Schizosaccharomyces pombe: one gene and its partners. The protein of the gene in region 2 binds, or shares a complex with, the protein of the main gene of each other region. Each region holds a gene or a part of one and is shown on either strand. Other genes may lie near its edges. A codon is read from its position in the direction of its gene.

The links.
Region 1: the proteins of naa38 (region 2) and naa30 are in contact, whole or in part, in a cryo-EM structure (PDB 7L1K), measured with the Schizosaccharomyces pombe proteins. Residues at the interface, in NP_595273.3 of Schizosaccharomyces pombe: Cys32 (codon at 3,063), Thr33 (codon at 3,060), Asp34 (codon at 3,057), Glu36 (codon at 3,051), Ala38 (codon at 3,045), Ile40 (codon at 3,039), Val59 (codon at 2,834); in NP_596246.1 of Schizosaccharomyces pombe: Lys13 (codon at 1,222), Ser28 (codon at 1,177), Lys29 (codon at 1,174), Tyr30 (codon at 1,171), Arg33 (codon at 1,162).
Region 3: the proteins of naa38 (region 2) and naa35 are in contact, whole or in part, in a cryo-EM structure (PDB 7L1K), measured with the Schizosaccharomyces pombe proteins. Residues at the interface, in NP_595273.3 of Schizosaccharomyces pombe: Gly4 (codon at 3,147), Glu5 (codon at 3,144), Leu7 (codon at 3,138), Leu8 (codon at 3,135), Thr9 (codon at 3,132), Trp11 (codon at 3,126), Leu12 (codon at 3,123), Asn13 (codon at 3,120), Ser15 (codon at 3,114), Val16 (codon at 3,111), His17 (codon at 3,108), Ile20 (codon at 3,099), Asp22 (codon at 3,093), Arg24 (codon at 3,087), Phe26 (codon at 3,081), Ile27 (codon at 3,078), Leu31 (codon at 3,066), Cys32 (codon at 3,063), Thr33 (codon at 3,060), Asp34 (codon at 3,057), Arg35 (codon at 3,054), Glu36 (codon at 3,051), Gly37 (codon at 3,048), Ala38 (codon at 3,045), Ala39 (codon at 3,042), Ile40 (codon at 3,039), Asn48 (codon at 3,015), Lys49 (codon at 3,012), Phe51 (codon at 2,858), Arg53 (codon at 2,852); in NP_596720.1 of Schizosaccharomyces pombe: Ala35 (codon at 5,408), Gly36 (codon at 5,405), Tyr37 (codon at 5,402), Val38 (codon at 5,399), Asp39 (codon at 5,396), Cys40 (codon at 5,393), Thr41 (codon at 5,390), Ser43 (codon at 5,384), Tyr44 (codon at 5,381), Phe45 (codon at 5,378), Ala47 (codon at 5,372), Thr48 (codon at 5,369), Lys49 (codon at 5,366), Ser50 (codon at 5,363), Leu51 (codon at 5,360), Lys52 (codon at 5,357), Glu53 (codon at 5,354), Gln55 (codon at 5,348), Leu56 (codon at 5,345), Val57 (codon at 5,342), Cys58 (codon at 5,339), Asp59 (codon at 5,336), Phe62 (codon at 5,327), Asp66 (codon at 5,315), Ser67 (codon at 5,312), Ala70 (codon at 5,303), Phe71 (codon at 5,300), Glu72 (codon at 5,297), Ile73 (codon at 5,294), Met74 (codon at 5,291).

What each region holds. Positions count from the first base shown.
Region 1 is NC_003423.3:3,020,729-3,023,690, reverse strand, and holds naa30 (NatC N-acetyltransferase complex catalytic subunit Naa30), read right to left. Parts: upstream 1,294-2,962; 5' UTR 1,259-1,293; coding exon 1,143-1,258; intron 1,055-1,142; coding exon 718-1,054; 3' UTR 561-717; downstream 1-560. Other genes in the region: autophagy-associated protein Atg9, read left to right, coding at 1-178; zng1 (nucleotide-binding domain-containing protein CobW/HypB/UreG), read right to left, coding at 1,603-2,838. UniProt on the Schizosaccharomyces pombe protein: Catalytic component of the NatC N-terminal acetyltransferase.
Region 2 is NC_003423.3:674,976-679,916, reverse strand, and holds naa38 (putative NatC N-acetyltransferase non-catalytic subunit Naa38), read right to left. Parts: upstream 3,181-4,941; 5' UTR 3,157-3,180; coding exon 3,009-3,156; exon of another isoform or gene 2,861-3,008; coding exon 2,790-2,860; 3' UTR 2,335-2,789; downstream 1-2,334. Other genes in the region: AP-1 adaptor complex beta subunit Apl2, read left to right, coding at 283-2,334. UniProt on the Schizosaccharomyces pombe protein: Component of the NatC N-terminal acetyltransferase, which associates with the ribosome to acetylate nascent protein chains in a cotranslational manner.
Region 3 is NC_003423.3:4,131,632-4,139,228, reverse strand, and holds naa35 (NatC N-acetyltransferase complex subunit Mak10), read right to left. Parts: upstream 5,571-7,597; 5' UTR 5,511-5,570; coding exon 3,816-5,510; intron 3,771-3,815; coding exon 3,339-3,770; 3' UTR 3,249-3,338; coding exon of another isoform or gene 702-3,248; 3' UTR 644-701; downstream 1-643. Other genes in the region: RNA-binding protein Prp24, read left to right, coding at 22-253, 378-643, 702-3,248; ARS-binding protein Abp2, read right to left, coding at 5,944-7,527. UniProt on the Schizosaccharomyces pombe protein: Component of the NatC N-terminal acetyltransferase.

The DNA of each region.
Region 1 (2,962 bases), 2.3 Mb from region 2:
AGGCGTTGGGTACGTCTGTAGTTACGCTGTTTTCCAGGACAACCCGCCTTATGAGTCTGTCGCTTCTTTGGTACAATCACGTAAAATAAGCCCTCTAATTCAAAATAAACCAGAACTTTCTCGCATCAGCTTTTACGAACAATTTAATACGGAAGCACCTAGAAGGGATCTTCGTTAATGAAATTGAGAGTCAGTTCTTGAAACAACCAAGCAAGTCTCAATGGCTTAATGGTTTATTTTTCTGTCATACAAAATGAAGGACAATGTTTATAAGAAGTGTTAACAATTTGCTAGCAAGGCAATTTGAGCCACTAATGCATGTAATGATTGTATTTTTACTAATTTCTTTTAATGAATGGTGATTGTTTGTTTGGAGAGTTAGCAGTTTACGTTGAAGCTTCTTTATTTATTCAGCTGTAGACTTTATGTTTTACTATTAATGAAGTTTACATTTAATGGAATGATATTATTTTTATGAACATCCGTACAATTTCTTTGAATCAATGTAAACACTGTTTATTACAGTTATAATTACGGAGTTACGCTACAGTGACGACTAATGACAATTACTTATGGTATTAATCAGTAGAAGAAAAAAAATAAAAAAAAATAAATAGATTGGAACAACTTTAAAACTTTCACTTATACTGCGACAAGTGGAAACAAATTTTCTTAGAGCATAGAAAATGCCGCGATTTTATTTTGTAGCATTGTTTTTCAATTCGGGTACAAGATGTATCGAAATGCATCAGTGCCGTTCAAATAATAACGATAAAGACGTTTATAGCGACAAAACCCGAGTCTTTCATAAAAAGACATGGCTGCCTCATTATCCACCTCTGTTTCCAAAACAATTTCCTGGGCACCTCTATTTTTCATTACATCCAGACTAGCTTGAGTCAATTTAGTAGCGATTCCTTGTCCCCTGTATTCTTTTACTATGGCCAGCATTGCTATATAACCTCTAAGCGTCGTCCCTCTATGAACATCTTGTTTGCATATTACAGCTCCAATAAATCGATCATTATCTAAAGCAACAAAACTGAATTCTGGCCTTTAATCTGTCAGTAAACTATAATGATATTGCCGAGTTTCATAATATGCAAGAAGCAGTTTGAGAAATCAATGAAATGGGAACATACCATTGGTGCACAAAATAACGATACACATATTTACTATATGGCTCACTCAAATCTTTTTGAATAAGCTGACATATATCTTTTAAATATTGGTGACTGTATGGGACAATTGTCACCATTCTCTTCTAGATATAATTTAGGGTCTGTAACGGTTGCAGAGCTGTATATATCAACAGCTTTAAGACGAATGTCGAAATTACAGATATAGCGTTAAAACGTTATATGCGGTTCTTAAACTGAGTATTATAAACAATGAATAAACGAGTAGGCCAGTATAAATTAAGTTTATAATTTGGCTTTTTTGCTTGGATTTGTTACATCTATGTCAATGATATGACATTTATAATATTGAGTGTTATATAAAATAATTTAGTATAAAAGCTTTTTATTGCGTACATTTAAAATTAATTCAACAAACATATATCAATATACATTATTAAAATGAAATATAAAATAACTGCCATTATTGGTTTCCGACGACGAAAGGAGATATTCGATGTAGATTACGCCCAATTAGGATAATTTCGGGATGGATATCCTTTTCTAAAAATGCTCGAGGCTTCTCCGACAGCGGCATAATTTCGAATACTTCGCGAACACCCTGAAAGATGTACCAAGAGCCATCGTCTTTATTAAAAATTCCTTTACTTCGATAAATCATAAACTCCTCGTCTTCCCCTTCCTCCAAACAAGACCAAAGTGTATGACGAACCCATTGTAGAAATTGCTGAAAAACCTCTTTCGACATTAGTGGGGGCAGTTTAAAAGTATGAGTTGAGATATCAAGGCTATGCGTATCGAGAGAATGCAAATGTTGGCAATCCACGTCCAAACAAGTAGAACAATTAATATTGCTATCATTGCTCCTTTGAATCGACCACTCAAGATTAGAAGTATTTTCGTTGCCGTATGCATCCAAGTCCAAAATTTCAGAAATGTCATCCAACCGTCCATATGTTGTTTCAATAATCTTCGCTAAGCAATTGATCTTCAATATAGTTTGACGTACCACAGATAATGCTTCAGAAGAAATAAGATCTGTTTTGTTTAAGATCAAACAATCAGCATGTGAAATTTGAATAAAACCAATATCACTTTCATCCTTTAAGATATTATCTATATTTTTACAATCAATAACAGTAACGATGCCATCTAACTTGACATCGCTTTTCAACGCGTCGTCCAACCAAAATGTTTGAGCAAGAGGACCAGGATTGGCTATACCCGTTGTTTCAATTACAATGTTATCAAATCTCCCCTTTTGCCTCATAATTTTTTCCAAAGCTTTAATCCCATTGTCTTTCACAGTGCAACACATGCACCCATTTGAAAGAGCCACCCACTCTTCATAAAGTTCTTCTCCTCCAACATCCTCCATTAAGCTCCTTTCAAGGTCTCCCGAATCACCCACCTCATTCATTAATACAGCAACCCTTTTACCATTTCGATTTTCAAGAATTGACCGTAGCAAAGAAGTTTTACCGGCACCCAAAAAGCCCGTCAGTATTGTGACAGGGACTGGGTCCAAGGTAGAGTCATGATCAACTAGAAGAAAATCTGATTGCTGCTCAAATGAATCAATATCATTATTGGACGAAACCGTAGGTACGCTTAATGTTTCCGAATGCGGTTGTGTGTTAACCTCTTCAACGTCAACCAGCTGTGGAATTTCCGACTCGTTTTCAATTTCAAAGTCCATTCTTACACCTTTTTTAAATAATGGTCATATAATTAATCTTTTCGAGTTGAATACTTTGAGAAATACTTCTAAAAGCCTCAATTTAGGTCTCACAGGTAAATACTTTCGAAAAGTGTTAATAATG
Region 2 (4,941 bases):
TGTATACTGAATTAAATGTTTTAAAATTTATTTAAAGGTCATAATAGTAGCGTTTAAAGCATTGCAGGTTGAAAATGAAATCATGAATATATAGAAATTGGATTTCAGTATTCGATATTGTCACCTTTGTTACTTCTGGGAGTGGGTGTTTCTCACCGAATGGGTTTGACTTGACATGATTATTGAACCACTGCTTTATATATGTAAACGTGTTTTTGACCTTAGGACGTTTACCACCTTTAAAAGAGCTACATAAAGAGCGGAATTATACAATAGTACCGAATGGTTCCAAAGTTGTTTCAATCGAGCCGTTTTAAGGCATTTAAAAAAAGCGAAACAAGTGAATTACAAAAGGGACTAGTTTCTCAGTATGCCTACGAGAGAATTGATGCTGTGAAACGGACTATTGCCGCAATGACTGTTGGCAAGGATGTGTCTAGTCTGTTTCCCGATGTTTTAAAGAACCTAGCTACTCGCGATATCACCTTGAAAAAACTGGTTTATTTATATCTAATTAACTATGCCAAAACACACCCTGATCTTTGTATTTTAGCCGTTAATACTTTTGTAAAGGATTCTGAGGAATATAATCCTACTTTACGAGCTCTGGCAATTAGAACTATGGGTTGCATTCGGGTAAATAAAATCATTGGCTATTTGGCAGATCCGTTGCGAAAAGCTTTGAAGGATGAGCATCCCTATGTTCGTAAGGCTGCAGCGGTTTGTGTTGTAAAGATGTATGACCTTGATCGAGAATACTGTGCATCAAATGGTTTCATCGAACAATTGCAGGCGTTGGTATCTGATCCGAATCCTGTGGTTGTGGCTAATGCAGTCCGCTCACTTGCTGAAATTCATGATCAGGACCCTGAAAAGGGATATTTTAATGTAGTTTACACGATGACAGACAGGCTAATGGTTGCTTTGAGTGAGTGTAATGAGTGGGGTCGGATTACTATTTTGAATTCTTTAGCTAGATTTCGCACTTCTGATATCAAGGAAGCTGAATATGTTTGTGAAAGGGTGGTTCCTCAATTCCAACATGCAAATAGTGGTGTCGTTTTGTCCGCTGTGAAAGTCATAATGGTACATATCCCTCTCTTTTCCAGTGACTTTACAGACTTTCTGTACAAAAAAATGGCTCCTCCTCTTTTGACGCTACTTTCTACGGACTCAGAAATCCAGTATGTAGCCTTACGGAACATTAATTTAATATTACAAAAGAGGCCTTCTATTTTTGATGTCAAAACTCGGGTTTTTTTCTGCAAATATAATGATCCTCTTTATATTAAAATGGAGAAACTAAAGATAATTACAATGCTTGCATGTGACGAAAACATTAACGAGACCATTTCCGAGCTTCGAGCGTACGTTTCCGAAGTTGAACTAGAATTTGTGAAACAAACGATTAAATGCCTTGGAGACGTTGCATTGAAAGTTCCAAGCGTCATCAATGATTGCATCTCCATATTTCTTGAAATCTATGAGTTAAATATTAGTTATATGGTTCAAGAAGTCACGGTGGTGATGGAAACGGTTTTGCGCAAATACCCTCAAAAGATTGACTTATTACTTCCATATCTTTCTCGTGTCATTGAGGAGCTTGGTGACCCTAGAGCCCGTAGTAGTATGGCTTGGATTTTAGGGGAATTTTCACACGTTATACCTACTTCTTCTAAACTATTATCCGAAATGATTTCTACTATGGCGGATGAAGATTTACAGATTCAATTGGCTTTACTGACGGCTGTTGTAAAATTGAGTTTGATGAACGGCAAAGGAAACGATGAAGAACTCGTACAGAAAGTATTAAATTATGCAATTAATCAATCAAGCAATCAGGATTTAAGGGATCGTGCCTTTGCATATCAGCGGTTGTTGACACCTGAAAATGTTCGTAAAGCTCAAAAAATTGTTTGTTGCGAAAAGCCTTCCGTATCTTATAATAACAATCTACCTGAGGCACTTTTGGATGCTCTGTTGTGTGAAATCACAACTCTTGCTTCTGTATACCATAAATTACCGGAATCCTTTATTGGCCAGGGCAAGTTTGGCGCAGACGCAATACAGCGTCGAGCTGTTGAAGAATTGAACATTGAAGAAGCCAATGTTCATGAAGCTATTGAAAAAGGAGCCAACGTTGAAAATTTGCTTGACCTTGATTTTACTGATCCAGGCGCAACGTCTGCCAGTGATTCTCCAATAACCAGCGCACAACCTCAGTCGGGCTCAAATAGTGCAATGGATTTGTTCATGGCTTTTGAGGCACCGAGCACAAATAACGCTGAACCTGTAAAGGCTAGATCGGCAACAGATGATCTGTTAGGGCTTTAAAGATAAACGACAGATGAGTGGCATGATAGATGATGATTTGTTTTATTAATATTTATCTCGTTTCGTTTGTCTAATGGGAAAAACGGGATAAGGTTGATTGATGCACATCTAGTTTATGAAGATATGTTTCAATTGTTGTTTTTTCCCAAATCAGAAAGTCAATTTTAACATAGAAAGCATGTTCTTCTTTCGTTTTTATAAATAAATAAAAAAATATTTGTTAAAATGGATGCGAAGCAAAAATAGGGACTGCTCATTGCAGTAATCATTATCACTGAGGTGCTATCACGAGTGGTACAGATTGTAATGTTAATTATAGGCGTTTTTTAATCTGTACGAATGTAATGATTATCCCTGGCGATATTCGTTTTTGAATTCATTCCAATATATATATATATATATATATACATACATACGTAAGTGAGATGAAAATGTTAAGGAGATTTATGGGTGCTTTAGGCACGTACGGAGAAGCTTTTGATATGCTTTCCTGGAATCACCACTAAACCCAAAGCTCTAGAGAAGCCTGATTTCATTATATTAGTTTTGACGAAATTGGTGAAAAACAGAAAGAGGTACTAGCTGGAACGTTTGTTTTCAATTTAAACAGTAACCCAGCGAAAGTTTACTTGAATTTGAGGGACGCGCTATTCATGAACACATATCAATCTTACCTTTGTTGTATTCTGTGGTATTTGAGAGAATGGCAGCGCCTTCTCTGTCAGTGCACAAGAACTTTCCGATGAATTTTCTCTCATCAAAAATTTCAATATGAACTGACCGATTGAGCCAGCTGGTCAGTAAAATCTCTCCATTTTCCATGATCAAGGAAAATTCATCAAGCTTGGGGGAAGTGAAATCAATAGCAGTGGATATACATACTCTGAAAATACTAAACATTAACGCAATGCACAAAATTTGAACATCGTATTGTAAAAAGTAATGTAGTGCCATTAATATAACGCTATGCTATGATACACTACGTTGCGTATCACTATATGTCATATGTTGGAATACTAGCTAAGATCCGTTTATTGATAATCACGGGTAATTATCCGTCTATATACATAGATACCCGTTAATAACAACTATTTAGAAATATTATAAATAGCGTTACAACTGAACCTCGTTCCTCAGTTCAGTTATGAGCTATATTAGTGATAGGTAACATTATAACCCAGTTAATACAATACCTATACTCAGTTGCTACTTATACAACCTGTGTATTGTAATATAAATAGACCATAAGGAAAACTCACCGCAGTTCTCCGTATCCTTAAATCAGATACCAAACTGCGTAACATTAGGGAGAATTGAAAACTGTGCAATTAACATTGGTATTTTAAACAACGGAATTGGTGCATGTCTTTACATAGTATACGATATCACCTTAAGTATCACAAACTACGTATAATAGAGTAACTGAATGTGGGGTGAGTAATGGCAACGTAATGCTCTATAACATAGCGCGGACTATCCCATTTGCGATTTTATTTTGTATCGATCTTTTAGCATGTTGAAGAGTGTGTTTTGATGAAAGAGAAGGTAGATTACTATAATTACCGATCCTAAATACAACATGAATGTATTCTCATAAAGAATGGTTGAAATTATAATCCAGAAAGTAGGTATTTTTTCCTACTGATTTCAACCCTCTACGCTTCGCATCGTTATTTAGTATACAGTTGGTACAGTAGGATATCAAGGCCGTATACATACTATTTACATCGCGGTATCCAAAAATAGTTTAAACAAATGCCGTGAATAGTTTGTCTTTGCATCCATTTATGCAATTGATAGAGTTTCATGAAAACGTTCTAAGCTTGCCGAGTCAAAAACTGCCTTTCGACGGCAAGACACTAGGCAACTTCGTCCCAATGCAGTACTGGAAATTTCAAGGAGAGGGAATTGTAGCAGTCTAGTGCAAAGTAAAGTGAATTCATGAACCGACTTGTCATGTGAGTTTTATTATTAAGAACTCATTGTATGAGAAAAAAAGAGGGAATCGTTTCGTTAATGGGTTTTTTAAGGGGTTCGTTCATCTCCAATTTACAAGTTTATGGGTCACTTGACATTTTCTCTACTTTAACAAAAACTGCTACGGTTCCTCAATTCCCTGTTGATTGATAACGGATATGAACATAGAGTTGTTGATATCAGAGTAAAGTATTTTAAGCGATCTCGGTTATATACTAAAACATTGGGAAATCTTCCTATTTTGAAAGCCAGCAAACCAGCTTCATTTTAACTATGTCTTTCCAACCAGCGATGTAGGAAAGCTTGGTAACTTTAACTCTCGCAAAGTGTCGATAAGTTTGCGTAACGAGTTGACTGTTTTATCTCGCTTATAAAGGTTAAAACATTTCTACAATAATAGACCGTGCTACGAAACAGTAAAATTATGTGTTTGTAAAAAATACTTATGGTAATAGGTTCAACCGAGCTCCCTCCAGCACATAAAATTCATCGTTATATGAATAGCCAAACTTCATCTCGTTTTTTCCCCTATGATCAAATTTTGTCGAACAGGAAAAAGTTGAGTCGCTTTACATTACAGAAATTTCGATATTATCGCATGTCACGCCATTGAATTTTTGGCATTACTAT
Region 3 (7,597 bases), 3.5 Mb from region 2:
GTCTTCGTCGGTTTTGACGAAATGAGTCAAATACAAGATTTAAAAGATGAGAATGTCGAAATGGATATTGATCCACAAGAACAAAACGAAAAAAAGCCTTTGCTTCTGGATGAATTGACCAAATTTACGATTTTACATCCCTATAATTATGATAGTCATATTAAACTCATTGAAGAGTTAAAGCGTCTAGATAAAAAGAAGGAGTTGTCAGAGGCTAGAAAGACTTTTCAATCGATCTTTCCACTTTCAGAAGGTATGTCAATCAACAATCGTCTAGGTAAAGCGTGTTGAGGCGAATTCCATAGACTCGCAAAAATTATTCACTAATTACTTTAACTTTGTTAATCTTTTGACAAGCATTTATTAATGGTTTTTAGATTTGTGGGTAGATTACCTTTTAGATGAGTGCAAAAACTGTAGGACTTTAGACGACTATGTGAGGATAAAAACATTGTTTGATTTGGCAGTTCAAGATTATCTGTCAATCAAAATTTGGTGTATGTATCTTGAATTTACGCTAAACTTAATGGACACTTCTTCTTTTGAACAAGAACAGTCTGAATTAAACGGCGTTATTACTTTGACAGATGCCCATTCTCTTTTTGAACGTGCATACCAAACTTGCAAATTTCATTTTTCTAAAGTAAGGAACTAAAAATTTTCTTCATGATAAAAATGTATTTACTAATCAATGTTTACAGAGTCAATGTGTTTGGACGTTATATTTGGAATTTTTACAGACGTTCGGTGATGCTCTATTTGAGGGAGAAGAAGAGCAAGAAATTGTTTTTAAAAACAAGATATATGATTTTCATATTGATAGATTAAAACTTCCACATGAGCAGATTGAAGAAACGTTTACTTCTTTATCAACGTTTGTCACAAATAACTGGTCTCCTTCCGAATATGAGGATGTTATGGTGAAAAGCAATAAAGTGTATGAGACTACACTTAAAAGAAATGCAAAAATTTTTAATAAAGAACTATTGTTAAACAGCGCAAATCATTCTCTCGAAGCGTATATGGATTTAATTAATGATGAATCGCGACGCTCAACAGCTGAGTTACAATATATAACAACTCTCTATGAGCGTGCCATAGTTTTGTATCCCCTCATTCCGGAACTCTGGTTGCAATACACTGCCTGGCTTAGTAAAGTGGATTTTTCTTCTTCTCAAGCGTCCAGTGTAGCAGAACGAGCTACTCGTAACTGTTCATGGATTGGGCGTATTTGGTCCATTAAACTGACTTATATGACGCTTTCTGGAGCATCCACATCGGCTGTCTGTGAAGAGAAAGATCGATGTTTGAATTCAAATTTGCTCGTAAATTTTGACGAGGTTATTGATTTTTTTAGCGGATTTTTAAAAGCATGCCTATATTTGTCTTCTAATGAAGATAAGCCACAGGAATTTTTGAAACATCAAATTCATAAAGTCGAAGACTATTTGCGAAAAAATCATAAGGGATCAAAGGATGCAAGAATGCGCATTGAACTTTCAAAAATTTATTTATATTCAGAAATCTCTGATTTTGAAAGCGTAGAAAAGTGCTGGTCTGATATGTTTCATGATTTTCAAAATCAGGCATTATATTGGATTTCTCGATACATAAGTACGATGAAGTATAACCCAGAGCTTGCGGCTGAGACGTTAAAAAAAAGCCTTTACAAAAACGTTGATCAGCCTCAACTTCTGTTCCAATTTTATCAATCCATTATGGACCTTAATAATGACTGTTTCACAAACACATCACATTTATATGACGTTTTAAATGCACAGAGGATTAGCTTCAAACGTCAATTGGATTCTTTTGCTGAAGAAACGAAGCAGACTGTCGAAAACACCGAACCACTAAAAGTGCCTCAAGCTGATGATACAGCCGCCCTTTCAAAGAAAAGAAAACCTGGGCAAGAAGGTGATGTGTTCAAAAAGTCGAAACCTATTGAGCAACACAGGAATAGGGAAGAACTTACAGTTTTGGTTACCAATCTACCTTCCGATATAAGCGAAAATGAGTTGAAAATTTTTTTCAAAGATTGTGGTAATATTATACGCATTTTTATCCTCGAAGACAATCAAAAGGATGTTAAAGTGGCTCAGATTGAATTTTCTGAAACCAGTGAAGTTCTTGCTGCTAAAACAAGAGACCTTAAATCGATAAGGGGTCATGAAATTTCTGTTCAAATTCATGTAGACACGAACCTCTACGTTACCAATTTTCCTCCGACTTATGATGAATTAGATATAACCAAATTATTTTCTGCATATGGTAATGTGGTTGACGTCCGTTTTCCTAGTCTAAGGTATAACACGAACAGGCGTTTTTGTTATGTACAAATGAGAAAGCCCGATGAGGCACACAATGCCCTGCAGTTACATAAGAAGCTATTGGAAGAGAAGTATCCTATTCAAGTCTTTATATCAGACCCGCTTCGGCGAACTCCTAGAAGCGGTGCTGTCTATGAGGGTAGAGAACTCTACGTTACAAATATTGATTTTAAAGTAAATGAAAAAGACGTAGAAACATTTTTTAGGGATTATGGGCAGGTTGAGAGTGTTCGAATACCGAAAAGATTTAATCAACATAAAGGTTTTGGATATGTGGTAATGACTACAAATCAAGATGCTGAAAATGCACTTTCTGCTGCTGGAAAGCAATTGGGAAATAGAGTTTTGAACGTTGTTTTGTCGAAGCCTCGAGAATCTCTAGAGAAAACAAGGGTATCATCCAATGACAACCGAACCTTAGCTAAAAGCTTTGAGACTACTGAGTCAAATAAAATGTCAACGCCAAAAAAATCATTCGAACAAATCAAAAGCAAAAGCCTAGGAGTCACTAATGTCGACGGGACTGTTAACGAGGCTAGACTTAGAAGTTTATTCGAAAGCTACGGAAAGTTGTATAGAGTTGTTCTTCATCCTGAACATGAAGGTGCTGTAGTAGAGTTTTTGGATATTCATGATGCGGGAAAGGCATCCTTGGCATTAGAAGGACATGAAATTGGTGGCAGGTTACTACACATTACCACTGTCAATGAAATGATGCACAATGTCCCATCTAGTATGAATCATTCCGATTACAATACCTCTGCTACACGCCCACGGCGACTCGGAAGCCGAACGTTTCAAGGTTTCAATTCCAATCATTCCAATATAAATTCTAAGAAGGACGATTTAGACGATAAAGAAATGCAGATAGATGCACCTAAAAGCAACGATGATTTTAGGAAAATGTTTTTAAAATAGTCAGCAATAATTAGATTGAATGATTAAAAAAATATTGAAAACCTAACTTTTGATAATTTTGATTTATTAACATAAAAGACGAACAACACCTCATGTACGTGAAAGACTTGGGAGCGGATTTCCAGGTATTTCCACTATTTTTAGATTAGCACTATGATCTTTGGATAAGATTGCAAGTGAAACCAGATTTGTAATGCAGCAACATAATAAATTTTTTAAATAGTTGGTTTGCAAGAAATACGGGTTGATGAACTCATTCTGTTCAAAACCGGATTTTATAACATTAATAAGGCTATTCTTTGCAGCAGTGAATTTTTCATTAGATTTGATGATTAAATCATCCGTAGAGAAATTTTGAAGATTTTTGATTATGCAATCAGCTTCCGAACGAAGTAGTGGCTTGGGTTGACGCAAATTAATTAAAGGACGATAATGGGCCATGTAATATGACTCTTGAATTTTTTCATCAAGAGTAAATGAAGGAGTTTTAATGATATTCAACCGCATACAAAGCACCGTCAGCTAAAATCGTTAGAATAAAAAAGAAGCGATAAGCTTTATACATACTAGTAAATAGCCAGAATAGGTCTCCTTTATAGCATTCAATATTCGATGCAAATATGTAACAAAGGTTTTGGCCATAGGTGGGGTATTACGATCCTTTCCATGAAGCTCTAAATGAGTCTGGTGGATAGAAAAGACATGATCAAGCACAGCAAAAAAATGGGGCCATTGATATGGTTGGTGAAGTTTTTGTTCAAAGGAAGAAAGCAAGATATGCTCAATTGCATTTAGCTTAACATGGTAAATAAATGATGAAAACGGTCCATTACTTGGTAGGCTTTTTGCTACGAATTTCAAATCAAGCGCTTCAGCTTCAAAATGAGCAACGGTAATTTCAGGAAGTAAATTTATTAGATTACGGCGGAACCGACAGGGATTGTGGGAACAAATTCGGACAAGGTCAACCATGATATTAGTTGAATGAGCAATCAAAGACTCAACTAGCGGACCATAGGCTGATGAGATAGAGTTTTTTTCGATTACTGTACGGGTGTTAGGATTATAAAAATTTGAAGGAAGCCCAGAAAACTCACGAATACATTCTAACATATACGAAGTAGGTTGATCCCTTAGATTAACTGCATTGTTAGCAGTGATAAGTGCTTGAAGGGAGGAACGGACGTAAGGCTCTGGAGTACGATTCAATCTCGTAAAATCTAAACAAAACTGATATACTGCCAAGGAAGAAGCGAGAGTGTGGCTATTCAAAATCAAAAGCATATCATCAGCAAAATACAAAATTCGTTGATAAGAATGCTCAATGCCAGTAGGAGGAATATTCCTCACAGGAGCTGTAGCAACTAATTGGGCTTGGACGCGAAAATCCCAATATTGCTTTAATATGCTCTCCTTGATAGATGAATCAACTACCGAAACCGTGTTCTGAATCTCGGGTACCAAATTTTTGATCAGATGGAGAGCATCGATGGTGGTCTTAATATCACTCCTTTCATACACTCGTAAAATACCAATTCGAAGTTGTATTCTATTGAGAATTCCCTCGATAATTTGTCGTAACTCGGCAGAAAATTTTATAACCTCGGAAGCCAAATATTCGATGCTAGATTGCAAAAGATAATTGAGTTTTTCTATGGGGTAATTTTGAAGAAAGGACATGTGATATGAAAACGAACTAATGTCTTCCTCGTCATATAAATTTCCCATCAGAAATTCTCGATGAACAATATCGCAACATTTAATAACAGCCAAAACAAAAGGGAAAAGAACGATGTCAGTTGTATTCCTTCCGCTACCACTGGAGAAGCCACTGTCACCCACTTGTGAAATAGGCGACTTGCAAATGGAGAACACATGGGCACTACAGAGTAAGCTCTCTGATAAGGGGGATCCATAATGCCACTCTTTTTCCGCAGAGACAATTAAATCCATTAACGCTAATATTTCCAAGTAAGAGAGATCACGTGAAAAATCTACACGAAGTGGCTGATAATCAATCCCACTATCCATTTTCGGTTCCATAATTTCAAAGGCACTGATTGAATCCAATAATGTAAATTTTGGATCACATACTAGCTGTTCCTCTTTCAGAGATTTCGTGGCTTCAAAGTAAGACTTTGTACAGTCGACATATCCAGCGTTATCAACATAACCTTCGTTCCCTTTGGCCGGTTCCACATTTCCAATCTTCACATTTCCTTGCATAGAATTAAGCAATGATAGGGACTCTTTAACAGACATAAAATCGACAAAACACCCCTATATTGACCAATTTTCTATTGAACGTCTAGTTTATGGGTTAATGAAAAGTGTTACTCTGTAAGTCACAACAAAAATTCCACGCATAAAAATGCTTGTTCAATAACATTTTCGAGAGTAAATAAGATGGTAATTTTTTCAATAATAATAAAAACAATGATAAATCCAATTTGAAATTATTTTACTTGTATCTGCAAAGGTAAAAAACTATCTCGATGGTAACCCATCTCACCTAGCAGTAGAATATCTAAAAACTTTTTATAAAATAAAGAGAAGGAAAACAAAATAAATACTTTAAACAATTATGCTTTTTTGAACATGAGAATTTTGTAACTTTGAAATTGCACCAGTTCGTGGAACGTGCAGTCGCAAAGTGTACTGCATAAATAGATACATGCATGGAAGAATCGTGATTTCAGTCAAACACTGCATTCATAATCTTTCTCTTTAAATTTTCGAGTTCTAAATTTTTTTCTTTTAGGGCCGCATTCAGTTTGGCAATTTCTAATTTTAATGAGGAAACAGTGTCTAAAGGCTCCATTGAATTTGAATGAGATATAGGGACATCGGGAATCATCTGAGCTTCTGCTAATGAGTGCATACTCGGCGCTTTTTCCAAATTGAATGCATGACATATAGTAGCTGTTAATGGTCCTTGATGAACGGTCCAAATTAAGCGATCGGTACTGGCTTCAAGGATTTCGGAATGAGAAGAGACCAGGGCTAAAAGAGTACTTGAGATGAACTTAAAATTGGGAGTTTTGGGGATCGGCGAAGTTTCGGAGGGAGGAAGATATTGGGATATCGTTTCAGTATAGTGTGATAAAAGTTGAGAAACCGTTTCCATGGGCAGACGAGCAACATGTGAAAATGCAGAGCGAAGCATTGTATTTTGAGCATGCATCAACTTTTCAAATCTTTCATACCAAGAGATACTTAGCGTTAATGACACAGATGGTTCAGATCTCAGCCGTTTAATTTTGTTACGAGCTCCTGGCGGACGCCCGCGTTTACGAGGGACTCCTGCTTCATTTTCAACATTTTCCGTTTCTACTTGATTGGTTTGTCGAGACCAAGAATCATTCAACCCGTCACTTTCTTTGGGTGAAGAAACGTCTCGTAAATCATCAGGCCATTGATGCCAGTCAGGATCAATGGAATCAGCAACGCCAACTGCTTCAGCAGTTTGAAAAGCGTGATCATGGTTATGTGAATTGTTGGCTGCGGAAGGTAACTGATGGTCTTCGTCAGGTGGTTCAAACATATTTGGAGGATGTGGGAGAGAATGGTTTTGAGGAGTTGTCTGATGTGCTTGTTGAGAACCTCGTTCAGACATGTGATGGGACGCTCTCATTAAAAGGGATTGAGGGGTAGGGCATTCTTGGGAATCTGCATGAGGGTTTGTGACAAAGCTACCAAGATTGTGAGTGTTGTCGTCTAAACTAGCACTAGCTGAATGAATCCAGTTAGAAGGGGAGGTTGACGTGCGCATTGTGGAGATGGAGGAAGAGTTAACATCTGGATGAGACATTAAGCCTGCACGTAAAGATTTAATAACCAAATCATCAGTTACATTTACATTGCATCGAACTTGAGGTTGGGTTTCAGGAATTTCGAGATAATAAGGATTTGGTTTATTCAGGAGATAATCGAAAAAAGCATCAACATGTGTTTGACTCATCCACCGTTTTAAACGAACAACATACTGTTGTATTTTTTGAGTAGATTGTTCATCTTTTCGTTCCACACCAAGAAAACCCACCAGCTTGGACCAAGAGTTAATTATTTTTTGGTGGTATTGCCGGACAAGGAGAAATAAGACCCAAATCTCAAATTTTTGACCCTCTGATTTAGGAATCATATTGAATGCATTTGCTAATTGCCTCGTGTCAGCACCTGCATACCAGGGATTGCAGCAAAGACAGAATTGGCAGAACTTTTCAGTAATATTATCCGCGCTAACATCATGTCTAGATGGCAACAAGGAATAAAAGTTCATCCTTGATTAATTGCTTTAAAAAACAATAAAAAATGTAAAAAGACAGATAGATAAACGTTGGATTATTAAG